Linked DNA regions of Drosophila melanogaster. The protein of the gene in region 3 interacts with the protein of the main gene of each other region in a pairwise test. Each region holds a gene or a part of one and is shown on either strand. Other genes may lie near its edges.

Region 1 (6,384 bases), 5.5 Mb from region 3:
TCAATTTGCGTTTGCACTCATTTCTTTTCAAGTGTAGAAGATAGATGGTTTGCAACATTATGCTCAATTTTCCGTTCCTATTTCCCCAGCCAAGGGCTCTGAACGTTTTCAATTTTTCAACACTCCCTTTGAGAGCCGGATCCAAAAAGATGCAAATTGGTTGAACTCGAACTGCGAAGAAATGCATTGAAATGGGGCTACGGTGGTTAAATTGCATACATACCTGTGTAGACGATACTCTCCGACAGTTGAAGCAGTCCTATATCATTTCGGTATTCCGATGCAATGAAGTCATGGTGCACAAAGACATTAATGACTGTGTGGACAGCAGCGGGCTCATTTATGTTGCGTGCCCCCAACCTCACGTATCTGTATTTCATAAATCCACATATTTATATATTCGTTTTTAAATTAACCGCGTAAGCACGAATTATTGTAACTTCGAACTTCACTTACAGATCATATCCTCTTACCAAGCAATGAGCAGCACTTAACACAAAACCTAGAAAAAAAATATATATTCATTAATATATAGAGAAGGCAAGAACAGTAATCGCGACTACTGTATACCCATTACACAGCTAGGAAACAGAGACAGAAATGCAGATATGCAACATTTAGTCAATGACATTTAAATACCTTAATTCCTACAAATTTCAACGCAACATGATTAGCTAATGACATATGTATGTGTATTATAGGGTAGAAAAATTGTGCATATACTTGTGACTGGTATGGTATACATAAGTTAAAAAAGACACTAACGCATATGTATAATTGTGCCACCGCATTGAAAATCGGATGAATTGAATATCGCTGCCATCCATATAGAATTTGGCTCGGCTGCATCGTCACCACCGCTAATTTTGGGACGGGTTGATATCCCACAAGGAGTCTCTAAAAACTTAAAGTGTTCATTTTCTGTAACACACAAAGTTAACAAAGATAACAAAGCAACCGAGACCAACGACCGCATTTCTCCCTAGGCAATGTACGACTAAATCCATAACATTTCAGAAAGCTTCTTATCAGCTCAAAACGCCTGAATATTAAAAGATCTTTTGAATTTTCTTTTTTATATGATTTTGCACAACTTTTTGGGTTTTCCCTTTTAGTTTAAATTAAAATAACTATTGATAAGAAAAAAAATCAAAGAATGTTTTTTTTTTTTTGGTTTGTGGGCGTTTTAGGATTTGCATTATTGTGCGTTCCTAGAATGTGCATGTTTAATCTCGCACATGGGAATCTCGGATGAAGAATGTACATACATATGTACATACAATGTGTGCTTTATAAGGTCGGAAACATTTTCCTCTATGTGATACGTTCTTTTCGAAGAATCTGGCGTACCCTTTGACCCACGAGTAACTAGTATGTTAATGCCTTTCAATCAGAGAATTAATATTAAAGATTAGAAATGTAACATTGATATTCACTTAGATATGTTCATAGGTAAAGAAAATTGTACATATAAAGACATAAGATATAAGATGTAATAGTTCCTAACAAAACTTTAGTGCTAATCACGCAGACGTATGATATGACTTATTTTGTTTGAAAACCGTTTGTCACTTAACAAAAAACAATATTGGAACTGAGTTCCAAACTGAGTTTAGTTATAGAACTATCAATAAGTTCAGAAACACCTTTTAAAAATAAAAATATTACCTTTTATTTAAAAAAAATAAACTGGTGTGGTGAAACAATTGGAACTAGTATCTTGTCAATTAAATGGCAACTCTATCGTTCGAAGAACTTTATGGAACACACGGACGCAATCTGAATTTGTGAAAATGGAAGACTAGTCTCTTTTTCGACGTGGAACGGATCAGTCGGTAAAAAAGATAACGCGGCTGCGAATATACACACTTGTATATTTTATTTTAAACTTTAAGGTTTATTGGTATTTAAATTTGTCGCGGCAAATCAGTTGCTTGTGTTAAAGGTTACTCTTCTTCAATGTTTTAAACAATAATAATAAGTTTCCAGTGAAAAATATTTAAATAACAAATTCTGTGAATTTAAGAGAGCGTTAAATGTTGCTCTCTTCTAACACATTTAAGAATTCGCACATGTGTGTGTGTCCAGTCACTTCATGGATACATTTGCACAAGGCTGTATTGGGCATTAATGAAACATTTTTAAAGGCAAAAATGTGCATACATATGTATGTGTTTGTATGTTAAACAAACGTACGGATGAATTTTGGCAGTGAAAAATAAAAATGAGAATCTACATACACATACAAACATGTGGGTATGTATAATAGAAAGAAGGTAGAAAGCAGCTTTCACAAGCCGAAGCCAAAATACCCTTGCACTCAATGTATTTAAAAAACTAGAGAAAATGCTATAGTTGTGGAATTCTATTGTCGTAGGCGTGGCAAAAGGTTTTTTGGTAAATCGATAGAAATGTACAAGAGAATGTAATTAATATGAAAAGGTAACAAAAAATTTTGCAAAAGTGTGGGCATGGCAGTTTTGGTCGGTTTGTTGGCGTAAGGGCATTATCGGTATTTTCCTATTTTCAGCTATATGATGCAGTCGCCTAATTTTGATCAAACTATAACTAAAATTGTATATTGTCAGAAACAACGAGCATGAATTTATAGTCAATTTATCTTTTTATTATTTCTTATCTAAAGTTATATGCATATAGAATAAAAACAGATACGAGCTTCCTTAGAAGCGGACGGAAATAATGTCTCGAGATCTGGACCTTCATTAAGACAGACGAACATTAGGACAAGGCCAGGTCTACTCAGCTAGGGATCCTGATCAATGTATATGTATTTACTTTAAAGGGGCGTAAACTTGTATTTTACATGTTACATACTTTCAAGCGAATCTAGTAAACCCTTTTAATTTACAAGTAACGAATATAAAAAGTTGAATGGTAGCGGGAGAAAATTAATTGTATAATATAATATTATCTTTGTTAATCCAGAGTCTTGGCAACTTGTGCACACAATTTTTTTTTTTTTTTTGGAAACTGAATCAGTTAATTGTGCCAAAATTTAGAGTGTAGATTTCTTGGAAATCTCAATGAATTTTATGGTCAAGTTCCAAGAAGTGAAATGCTTAACAAACAACAAAAACAAAACACACAAAAGCAAACAAATTATGCAGAATTATCGGATGTATTTTATATGTATGTATGTACATACATATACAAAGAATAATAAATGGGTGGGTCTGTTGGCTTCTATGGAATTTCCAATTTAAGCTGCAATACATGTACATTTTAACGTCTTTCTGTACGCTCTCAAATAAAAAAACACAATTTTAGGATTAATAAAAAAACAGATATGTACGTCTTCTATTCCCATATGAAGAAAAATATTCATATGATTTTTTGTTTGGCAGGAAATGCGAATAGTTATTGGATCGTTCACCGCATTTCTTTTGCTGTTATTGCAAAACTCAAATGCCGAAATTCCCGGTTGCGACTTCTTCGACACCGTAGATATTTCAAAAGCGCCAAGATTCTCGAACGGATCGTACCTCTACGAAGGCTTGCTGATCCCCGCCCATTTGACAGCTGAATATGACTACAAGCTCCTGGCCGACGATTCGAAGGAGAAGGTGGCGAGCCACGTACGAGGATGTGCCTGCCACCTCAGGCCATGCATTCGGTTTTGTTGCCCCCAGTACCAAAAGATGCAAAAGAGCAAGTGCTACGGCGACATGTCGGAGGACGAGCTGAACAAGCACGATCCCTTCGTGAACGTGACGCTCAGCGACGGGTCGGTGGTCAGGAGACACTTCAAGGAGGATCTGATCGTGCAGTCGGATCTGGCCAAGCCCGGATGTCCCCGGATGTACTTTCTGAATCACGAACTGCCGGGCAATGAATTCACTCTGTTTGAGGTTACTTTCCTGTGTTTCTGTCACTTCTGAAGATCGTAACCTTTTTTGAATCTCTGTAGAACGGCTCTCTTCTGCGTCACTGGGACAAAGTGGAACTGAGCAAGCGGGAGTACTGCGTCCAGCATCTTTCATTTAAGGATGATAGTATCCGAATTGCACCCCACTTCTGTCCACTTTCGTCTGAGCACTCCAGAACGTGGAAGACCGTTGGTAAGCTGAATTCCCTGCTTGACTTTAAGGTTTTTAGTTAATGTCCATTTTCACAGCGATAGTGATATCCTTGATATGCATAATCCTAACGATCAGCGTGTACCTCTATGTTGAGAAGCTTCGCAACCTGCACGGAAAGTGTTTCATCTGCTACTTGGCCTCCTTGTTCCTGGGATATTTCTTCCTGGTCCTCAACGTGTGGAAATACTCCTCCGGCTTCTGCGTTACAGCAGGTTTGCTTGTGGCGATTACAAGATAAAGGACGACCAATTTCACATTTCGATATCATGATCAGGGTTCCTGGGCTACTTCTCCGTCATCGCCGCGTTCTTTTGGCTTTCTGTCATCAGTCTTACCCTCTGGAATTCATTTAGCGGCAACTCCAGCTGGTTGAACCGTTTCTTGCCACAGAATCGGTTCCTTTCTTACAATTTATACGCCTGGGGCATGGCGCTGCTCCTGACTGCAATCACCTATATAGCTGACCAGGTGGTTAAGAACGAGAAGTTGAGACCCCGCGTGGGCGTCGGCAAAAATTGTTGGATCTACAGTAAGTTACTATTCCTATAATAACAATTGCGGTGTAACTCGTTTTTTTTTTAACCAACAGCTGGGGATATGACTGTCATGATCTACTTCTATGGCCCGATGCTACTGATAATTGTTTTCAACATAACAATGTTTGTCCTGACGGCTTTTCGTATAATGAAAGTGAAGAAGGAAGCACAAAACTTTACTCAACAGCAAAAAACAACCAATAGGCTCAATTCGGACAAGCAGACGTAATAATTTTACCATATTTTATACAGTTCTAAATCCAAAAGTTTAAATTTTAAATTATTTTCTATGGCTTTTAAAGTTACGCCCTATTCCTGCGACTCTTTATCATCATGGGCTTGTCCTGGAGCTTGGAAATAATCTCGTTTTTGTTGAGCAAAAATCAGGCTTGGGCCAAGGCTTTTATGGTGGCTGATTACTTCAATTGGTCACAGGGCACCGTCATATTTCTGCTATTTGTTCTGAGGCCCAGCACACTGAAGCTACTGAAGGAACGGTAAGTTATCGGTTCTTCCATAGGAGGTCCAATTAACCTGGTTCTATCATCTGGCTGAGCAGGATTAAGGGTGGGAGGGATGAAGCCGGCGCCAGCGATGAACATATCTCACTTCAGAATACGAAAATTGACCCCAGTGTTTTTTAATATATGGGTAATGTGAAAATACAGTTTATTAGTTCATTTGGTGTTGGAAACCTTCTATTTTGAATCACTAACAGGCAGCCTAATGATCGTGACCAAAGGCTGCTTTGCTTGCTCATTATTGCTCACATATCGTATGCTCATATGGGCTACGAATATTTGCTACTTATCACTTTTCAAGTATCTTGATTTCTGCACGGTGTCTAAGCATATCTAAGTTTTAATTAAATGTTGAATGTAATTGTCCTTTAAGTTATAACTTTTTGCAATAATAATCTATTCCAATCCATCCTAGACGTGCCATCAAAGCGAGATCAAAGCAACTACTACATGGGGATATGTACGAATCTTATAGGCATGAATACTCGGCATTTATATACCCTGGTCTATTATTATGGATGGAGGATAAAAACTCAGGAAAATACTTTTCGCATCAGCACTTATGTATGCTCACTCGTGATAATAATTTCGTAATAATTCGTACTGTTTTTACTGCCTCAACTTAATTCAAAGAACTACAAATGATTATATTATGACTTTTTATGACAATGACTAACTAAAAATAAAAATTTCTGAATATTTATAAACAACTTTAAAATGTTATTAACTTAGGATAATAATAATAACACAGTTTTAATTTATCAAGCACATCGTTAAAAAACAATAAATTACTTGAATATAAATTTAAAAAAAAAATGGAATATTGGTTTACATTAACGGTATGCAAAAAATCATAAAAAGTCATAGAACTGAACGATAGAGAAAATTACAAAAAAACGATCTAGTCGAGTTCCTCGACTATAAGATACTCATTTCTCAGCTAGTTCTTTCATTTAAAAATTTCTCTTTCGTTTCGATAGTAATTGGCAAGAAAAAATAATAAAATACAACAAATTAATGCATTTTTGAAAATTATGGGCGTGACTGATTTGGTCGGTTAGTGGACGTGTCAATATTATGAAGCAAACGTGGACACTACAAACTGAAATATATATATATATATCATTTCATTGCCCTTAAGTCTGAAAAACGGCTTTAAAATTGAGAAGTTACTTTAAGAGATATTCGAGGTATTCGGTGACAGCAGCGCACATTATCGACTGGCCA
Region 2 (3,882 bases), on a different chromosome or scaffold from region 3:
ATCGAAATTGCGACAACGTAGAGGAGGCTTTTTCTTCTTGTCGAGCGCCGCCTGGGCAGCAGCAGCAGCGGCGGCCAGGACCGCCTCCCTGGCCTTTCGCACCTCCGACGGACTGTGGGCCAGCAGATGGTCGATGCGAAACTTTAGGTTCCACACGCGATTCGCCTCGCGCTCCTCGTACGCCTTATCGAAGATGGACTCCAGGGCCTCCTTCTCGTCGGCGCGCATGTCCAGTATTTCTTGCTCGCTGGGTGGCTCGAGAGTCAGTTGCTCCTCATCGGGAATTCTCATATAGCGACGGTAGAGCAGCAGTAGAGCGGCTTCCGTGTCGCCGGAGCAGTGCTCATAAGCTTCAAGGCAGTGGACAGCCTGAAATCCGTAGTTCTCCAGTTTGGCCAAGGCATATCGGCGCAGGCGATCACCATCACTGTCGTTGCCACGCGTTGAGCTCACGCCCTGGACACTCTGCACCACCAGGGTGCCGCGATCCTGCCAGTAGGAGTGCTTCACGCCATGACCTCCGCGTCCACGATCCTTGTACTTGCTGATGTCGTCCAGCTGGAATTCCGGGCCGTGGATTTGGCGCAGCGTGTCCATGGTCATCTGGCGGGATTCATCGTTGAGCCGAAGGACGTGGAGCTCCGTTTTCCGAGACTTGTTGTCAGCCGCCTGCGATTTAGGCGCCGCGGGCACGTTGCTTTTGGTCAGGGATTGGGAATGTAAGAAAAGCTGAATGTAAGTTTAGCGGCGTACTCACGTGGTACGGATGTCGCTGGGACTGCGTAGGAAGCAGTCCTCCATGTGCTTTCTCGAGGATTCGTCCATGGCCACTGGCAATCGTCAACGTAAGTCAGGTAAGTAAATTTCACAACAAACGCTAGGCAGTGTTGTGCAGTCTGGCTTTTAAAATGTAGCTAGGTCACATGTTTAAAATAGCTAATATATAAACTCTCTAATATATAGATAAAATATATTGTATGTCAAGACACTAAAAAACATAAATTCCAAGTAAAAAATAAACGATATTTGTAACCTCAAATATATAACTCTAATATGCAACTTGATGCCGTTGTGAGACGGCTGTCAAAGATGGCATATGGCTACACAATTGCTAAATTGGCACCTCCGATACCAAATGGCGCGAAAGTGTGACCAGCATATGAATCGAGCTCGATATATTATCGGTACCATCAGCTGAAGAAATTTATTGATAAGCCGCGAGATTCAAAGTTACTTTGAATCGTAGCTTGTTAACGCCTAAAATTTGACGTATTCTGTTACAATTAGCCGAAATTTACCGGCCCCAGTGAGTGTAAGAACGTAAGAGCTCCCGAAAGGATCTGGAAAGGGCAAAAATTAATTAAAGATATATAGAGATTGACTTTGAAGTCACACTGAACGAGTTCCTCGATGGGCACCAGCAGAGGAATTTGTATTTCATCCATACATTCCCTTTTTAGTTTGTAAATAAATCTCATCTAGTTTCCTTTTGCGTTCAAATACAAATTTACTACGACTTCGTATTGCGAACGAATATATACATACATATAATAAAGATGGATTGATAAAGAAGTTTTCGTCTTTTGGCAGACTTGTAAGATATAAGCGGGCATCTATTTATAAAAATAAAAAGAACTTAACACGATTCAGTTCGTAGATCTTAACGTACAATAAGCTAAATTTCCTTAAGCGTAGGGTAAGCGTACGGGTTTGTAACTTAGTATTACCAAAAACAATATACTCAATCTTATGTCTTTTTACAGCCCCGCTTGCCAGCAGGCTTCTTGGCCTTCAGTTCGAATGAATGAGAAAATGAGATAAGGTCTTGGCCAAGTAGAGAATCTGAAGTTTACGCCAACTACATATGATTTAAAGAAAAAATTTACTTCTTAGCAAAATAAATTTTTTTTTATGAAAAGTAGCCCCTGCAAAATGTGTAACCCTCATTTGAAAGCGAGGATCTACACACATCAGTCAGTACGCTCCATACTCTGTTCACGAGAACATCGGATACTCGACCCGATTTTGTACAGAACATTTTCATGGAAATTTTTCTAAACATATTTTAACACTTCTTTGTCAAACTCTTCTTTCCTTAAAAATCAAAATTTAATTCTACTCTAAAAGCCCCATATCATTAGAAATTATCATAGCTCGCGGAGATGGAGAAGCAACTAACAGAGCACATGGTGGAAAGCATGTCCAGGTGCAGGGACTATGCCAAGGCCTTGAAGTTGAATTTCTGTAACTGCGGCCTGAATGACATAAGTCTCTGCCTCAAGATGCCGTACCTGGAGGTCCTTTCGCTTAGCATGAACAAGATCACTTCATTGAAAAGCCTGGTGAGATGCACTCGACTGAAGGAGCTGTACTTGCGCCAGAACGAGATAGCAGACTTTGATGAGCTGAAATATCTAGTCAATGCCAAATCCCTCACATCCCTCTGGCTGCTGGACAATCCATGCTCTATTGCCGCTGGCTCCAACTATCGGGCATCTGTGCTACGAATGCTGCCGAATCTAAAGAAGCTGGACAACGTAGATGTTGCCGAAGAGGAGCTGGAATCCGCTTTGCGATACGATTACTACCCGGACGTAGGGAGTGCGATCCTTAATCCTGTTTTGGATTTAAGCAACTGCAGTCCCGATGACATGGCATACCGCGATATGATCGAACAGTGCGATCGGACGATCCGTCAGGTCCAGCAGCAGCAAAGGAAAAGATTCGCTAGCGGGGATGCCAAAAATATTGACGAACTAGCTCGAATTAGAAGTAGATCGGTGTTGGTGAATGGTGAACGCTTGCCTCTGTTCTTTCCGTCCGATTTGCGTCAGGTGCGTCAGGCTCAAAAAGCTCAGGATGCGCTTCGGAAGCAAAAGAATCAGCCGATTTGGCATAATGAGCAGGTTCAGCAGGCTCATAAGTTTACGATGACTCCGCAGGCTGTGCACGAACAGGTTCAGGGTATTCAGTCAATTTCATCGGATCGGAACGCCGACAGCCCTGCCGCTTCTACCTCGACTTTAGCCGAAAATCTTATCGAGCTGATCAATTCGCGACGCCAAGATGTGGTGACCCCACCCGGACATCTGTTGCCCAATGTATCCTCTGGGTTAGCATTGAATGGCGCTAATTCCACAACTTTGGAGCGGCATAATAACAGTTTGTCGGCGGCTTTGTTACTCATCCAAGATATGAACGCATCCCAACTGGAGACTCTAGTCCTCGCCATCATCGAACAGTTCGTCCAACTTAATTAATTTTCAAAATTAATTTTTGTAACGTGATCTTAAAACCCTAATGATTATTGATTAATGCTCCACAATATATCCATTATATGAAATATATATTTAAAATATATCCAAATAAACATTGTACATACATATATGTATGTAAATAATAAAATGCGATTGCCATGTATTTATGGCAGCTATTCGCATTTTGCAAATTAATCTCCTACATTCGGAAATTCTGATTCAAATGGTGATAGGTATATGTACCTCATTCTTCTTTGATTGATTAATTTCAATATTTAAAGTAGGAAGTCCGTGGAATGCGCTCGACATTTGGCTCGGTAATTACTGTCGCCAGCTGAGCTCGTGGCGTCTTTGGCCAGATGAGTTTCGGTTTGCAGCTACCAGGAAATTTCAGGCCGTGATCATGATAGCGATCATGATGGCCATCAGGTAAACACACCAACTTTTCCGGCTTACAACAAAGGGCGACTCTTGTTTAGTCGTAAATAGAGTTACATGCCACTTCGGAATGGCAAAACTGAGGTTTGTTTCTTGGTTTCTTAGCTTCTTTGTTTGTTTTTTGTCACCGACACCAGGAGACATGTGAGCCCTGGAAATGATAGGGAAACAGACGCCACTCCTCCTC
Region 3 (4,784 bases):
ATCAACTCTCCGGTCTGGATACTCGTGGTCAACGTGGTGGCCATGGACATGCTGAGGAGCCGCCTCCAAACGATTCCCAAGTCACTGGATGCGATGGGCATGCGAGTGCCGCTGACGAACAGCAGCGAGGATCCATACTCCACCATCGAAAGCCAAGTGGGATTGATCTATCCTACGCCCGCCGCGTCGGATGATTCCCAGAACTCCCAGCACTCGAGCAACTCCAGCAAGGGACGGCGCAGCATCTTTAGTGCCGCCTTCCTCAACGAGGGTCCATATGTGCCCAAGGTGGGTTCTAACCTAGATTACATTCTACCTGAAAAATTTGGGACTTCAAACCTTTTAACCTGTTTGGGAAAAAAAACTTAGCCTAATAATTCTTATTTGCTTTTTACACTTTGCAGCCCGACTACGAATCTGGCGGATCTTTGACGCCCATATATGCGGACAAGAAGCGACAGAAGAGCAGCGGGTCGCAGCAGCGGAAGAAGCAGGATGATCCGTACTACTGCGGACTCTTGGCGCGTATTCCCAACTTCATCAAGTCCTCGAAGCAGCCGTGCCCTGGAGGAGCCAGCAAGCCCAAGAAGGAGCCAAAGATCTCGCGGAAGATCTCGGCACAGCACCAGCAACAGCAGTTCCTGCAGCCGGCGCAACCCATTCCCATTGCCACATTCCACCACTCGTACTTCCCCTACAAACTGTATCCACCGCAGCACCGTCTCTCCCAGTCGCAAATGTCCCTCTGGGATGCACGTAGTCTGATCAGCGCACATGGTAAGTGACCACTTAATTTGTTAAGTGTATCTCAGTTAATCAGAACATTTCGCCATTTCAGAATGATCACTTTGGCTGGCCCTAATTTATTCATCGTCTAGCGTTAATTCTAAAATTATTTAGTCAAAGCCTACGATTAAGTTTGGTCAGTGAAGGATCATCGATTCACTGGATCACTGTGGAGTGCATTTCGCTCAGTTTTGTGATAAATGCAGCGAAATGCAGCCATTTAGCGTACGTCACTTAATACGCACTAACTCTAATTAACCGCAGTTAACTTTAAGTCAAGCAGAGAGATTTAATGATTATGCAATTTGTAATGAGTAATTAAAATTTTGCCATAGTTTCTTAAATCGTTTAAGACTGAGAGAATGTCCTAGAGCCCACGATAAGCGCACGGAGAGTTTGGCTGAGATTCAGGATGGGGGCAGATAATGTCATATGCAAATTAATTGCTACTTTAGGCAAGTTCAATTTATTATTTTCTTATTATTTTTCTGTACATACACTTCATATGTAAATAAGATCAAATTAAAAACATGTAATCGATATTAGTACGCATTAAAAAAGAGTTATGAAAGTCAATATAAGTGTTTTACTTTAAACGGGTTACAATCTACGCTGCTGAAACTGAATAATAAAGGTATTTTGTATAATTGTGTGTAGTTTGATTTTCATTTACGAGAACATTTAAACATATCTATATCTATATATATTTTCCGACATTTTTGCATTTACTAATTGTGTTTAAATATCGGAACTTAAAATTTATTAAACTGCTTTGCCTCTTTCTAAGATAAACATTGGTGGTGAAAAGTAAACCTGCGCTATCACAAGATTTTTTGTCTCCTAAATTAAATACATAATAAAATGCCGCCAAATTCGTCATCGAACTAAAATCTTAATGTACTAAACGGAGACCATATAAAAACAATCGATTTTCGGTGAGAACGATAACCGATTGCCAGTGAGTGATCTTGTAGCATTGAGGTTACCCGGTCACACTATCACATTGTGTTGCACTTTTTGTGAGGTTTGGATTAGAAAATTATTGGCGCCTCTTTTGCAGAGTTTTGCGACCGACTTCATTGCAATAAGGAGCGCCAGAGTGCGGAGAACATAGCCCGTGACCATGGACAAGTTTCTGTTGCGCAATCCCACGTGGAAGACGAAGACGTACGGATCGGTCGTGGCCAGTTCCGCCGCAGCTGCCAAGAAAACAGCGGCGTCATCGACCCGCCGACCGTTGCACGATTCAAATCTGGGCGACTTCAGGTCCAAAGCAGCGGCACCGTCTCCCAAATCTCTATCCCAGGCCCCGGCAGGTTGGCTGTGCATGCCTATTTTACATTTTGAACACCCAACCCAGTAGTTTTAGTTCCGGATACGTAGCTCACCCAAAATTCGTAGTATTCAAAAAAAAAAAAAAAAAACAGATTACCATGTCGACAAACGAACCGAGCATTACTAACAAGTTGCGTTCCCTCCTGCTAGATGACCAGGCGGCCAGGGATCGGCTGATGCTCAAGCCGGCATTAGCCGTCTCCAAAGCGATCAGCCAGCACCGCTCCGAGTTCCACCAGGACGAGAACGAGGCGGGAGCAGAAGGATCTGCAGCAAAACCAGATCCACCCATCGGAGCAGCCACGCCAACCAGGCAGGAAGGACACTGGGCCCGACTGCAGCAAGATCTCAACAGCCCCAACGCTGCACTCCGATTACGCGCCATTCGTGCATTAAAGTAAGGACAAAAATTGGTTATTGCAATTGTTATTTATACAACCTAAAGGTCAACTAGTGAAAACAGCTCAGATTCTTGACTAATCCATCCTTTTATAGCCATTTTATCGCTAATTTTGTAAAGTTAGATTCTTTAGATGCAATCCCTAATAATTCCATATCCATCAATAACTATTATATTAACAAGCCAGGTTTTTTTGCCAAAACCAAGTATTGATTATTATTATTATTAATTATTGTTTTGCAATGCAATCTAATCTGATTTGAGAAGAAACTGATCATAATAAAAAAAATGCATTCGCTTTTACATTGTATACATTTTTAGAAGCCCCACCAAGTCGGCATACAATACCTTCGATGTGCCTTTAGCCGAACAAAGCATCATCACGATGGAAGAACGCAATCCCCAGGAGCCGCCCTCCCTCCCCGAGTTGCTCAAGGACATAGTCGTATATGTGGAGGTGCGAACTGGAAACGACAATCGCTCTGAGGGCGTAAAATCAATTATTGCCAAGATGGGAGCCCAGGTCAAAGATCGCCTAACGCGGTAAGCTAAGGGATTACAATTGATTGACTAAAATATATTCAATTAAACATTTTTCGTTTGGCTTGTAGAACCACCACACACGTTGTCTTCAAGGATGGCCTGCTCTCCACCTATAAAAAGGCCACCGAGTGGAATATACCAGTCGTTTCCATTCTGTGGATTGAAGCTTGCAAGGTGCAGCTGAAAATATGCGATCCCAAGCAATTTCCAATCAGCAATATACGCATGTACGAGTATCCCGAGCTCTTTGGCAAAATGCCGGTAAGTTATTACTAATTGTGGCTTCTGTTGCATCATCGATCTTATTTATATATTCAAATGGGGATAAATGGGGCTTAAGAAGATAACTTTTAATTGTCACCATTCGGCTTTATAATTTAGCTTGCCTTCTCATAATACTAAGCTCACTGCAAAATACCCAATAACACATTGCAAAAATAGGCTTGTATGTACGTAGATATTAAAAGTTGACTTATCAAGGTCTTCATACAACTTTTAATATTCTTATCATATCATTATTTGTTAGGCCTAACAACTTCCCAAAAGCTTTATCAGATCTAAGACGACAATGTACTTTCGAGTTCATCAACTCTGCATTACATTTTGGTTGGAAATGGCAGCTTTAACTTACACTTCGATTACAAAAGAAATAGGTCTTTAATTAGTCTAATCGTTGACACTATCAATTTATGGCATTGCGGACACAGAAGCATTAACTCCACTTGAGATATGCCCCCAACTAATAGGCCATTCATACCGAGTTTATGGTTTTATGGCGCACATAAAGAACTATATGGAAATTGTACAACAGATAGCCGGCAAGAGGTCTTATCGACCACTTTTCCTGATGACCACGATCACAGTGGGTGGACTGTGGCCCAAAGCACTTGTGCGAGTACAAACATACATATCTGAAATGATTAGTTAATCCAGAAAATGGCGAACAGAAACGCAGGACCGCGGGCCGTCTGAAACTGCACGTATCTCAAACACGGAATACGCGCAATATTGGGAACTCTTCGTGTCGGACAGATTCTTATCACTTATCACTGGCTGACAGCGAGTCAACCAGCTGTTGTTGTTGTTGGCACTCCGGGTTATCTAAGTGAATTTACTTGCCCTTATCAGCTATCGTACGGCCAAAGAAACGGTCAGGAAGTTGTCCGGACGGAGACAGCTACATTTGTGAGGGAAAAAAGCGAGTGGGTGCAACTGAGAGATGTTCATTTGAATTCGTTTAGTTTATTACTTAGACATTAGACGGTTAAAAAAGACACAAGCTACTGGACGCCGGTGACAACTTAAAACCTAATTCACATGCACGTTTGTTTACAAATTTTCCTAGAACAGTTCATTTACATAACTCGCTGGGAATGCTGTACAGATACGTGTGCACAGATACACAATTGCACGGATGTCGTCGCGGCATCGCTGGTTGTCAAGCTTCTTTCTACAAAACTTACACTCTACGCTAGATTATTAGATTCTCGTTTAGGGCTGGTTCTGAGATTTGTACACAGCATGCTTCTATTTACAAGACAGCAGAGTTTTGCGTTAAGTACAGTGGAATCTTTGAGTTTAGCACTAGATTATGAAATCTGCGAGGCGGGCGAAGGCGAGCCGTTCGTTCCTCACGACAGCGCCACCTCCAGACACATCATGATCAGGAAGCCGGATACAGTGCCCCACGTGGCGATCGTTCCATTTCCGCTGGCATGAG

Evidence for each region. Proteins that work in one complex are often made in the same cells at the same time.
Region 1: the proteins of MCPH1 (region 3) and mthl3 interact in a two-hybrid assay, tested with the Drosophila melanogaster proteins (one large-scale study listed by BioGRID).
Region 2: the proteins of MCPH1 (region 3) and CG15208 interact in a two-hybrid assay, tested with the Drosophila melanogaster proteins (one large-scale study listed by BioGRID).

The regions. Positions count from the first base shown.
Region 1 is NT_033778.4:17,448,014-17,454,397, reverse strand, and holds mthl3 (methuselah-like 3), read left to right. Parts: upstream 1-1,799; 5' UTR 1,800-1,945; exon of another isoform or gene 1,946-2,256; intron 2,257-3,101; exon of another isoform or gene 3,102-3,309; intron 3,310-3,365; 5' UTR 3,366-3,368; coding exon 3,369-3,869; intron 3,870-3,928; coding exon 3,929-4,079; intron 4,080-4,135; coding exon 4,136-4,312; intron 4,313-4,374; coding exon 4,375-4,629; intron 4,630-4,689; coding exon 4,690-4,861; intron 4,862-4,938; coding exon 4,939-5,133; intron 5,134-5,195; coding exon 5,196-5,280; 3' UTR 5,281-5,287; intron 5,288-5,572; 3' UTR 5,573-5,865; downstream 5,866-6,384. Other genes in the region: CG10764 (uncharacterized protein), read right to left, coding at 1-171, 224-369, 457-502, 766-976.
Region 2 is NC_004354.4:10,898,367-10,902,248, forward strand, and holds CG15208 (uncharacterized protein), read left to right. Parts: upstream 1-1,598; 5' UTR 1,599-1,696; intron 1,697-1,763; 5' UTR 1,764-2,162; coding exon 2,163-3,260; 3' UTR 3,261-3,363; downstream 3,364-3,882. Other genes in the region: CG1582 (uncharacterized protein), read right to left, coding at 1-697, 758-825.
Region 3 is NT_033778.4:11,900,899-11,905,682, reverse strand, and holds the start of MCPH1 (microcephalin), read left to right. Parts: upstream 1-1,764; 5' UTR 1,765-1,909; coding exon 1,910-2,102; intron 2,103-2,144; exon of another isoform or gene 2,145-2,219; coding exon of another isoform or gene 2,220-2,271; coding exon 2,272-2,518; intron 2,519-2,842; coding exon 2,843-3,064; intron 3,065-3,132; coding exon 3,133-3,325; intron 3,326-4,288; exon of another isoform or gene 4,289-4,695; coding exon of another isoform or gene 4,696-4,784. Other genes in the region: reb (rebuf), read left to right, coding at 1-288, 405-777, 839-843; Zip48C (Zinc/iron regulated transporter-related protein 48C), read right to left, coding at 4,696-4,784.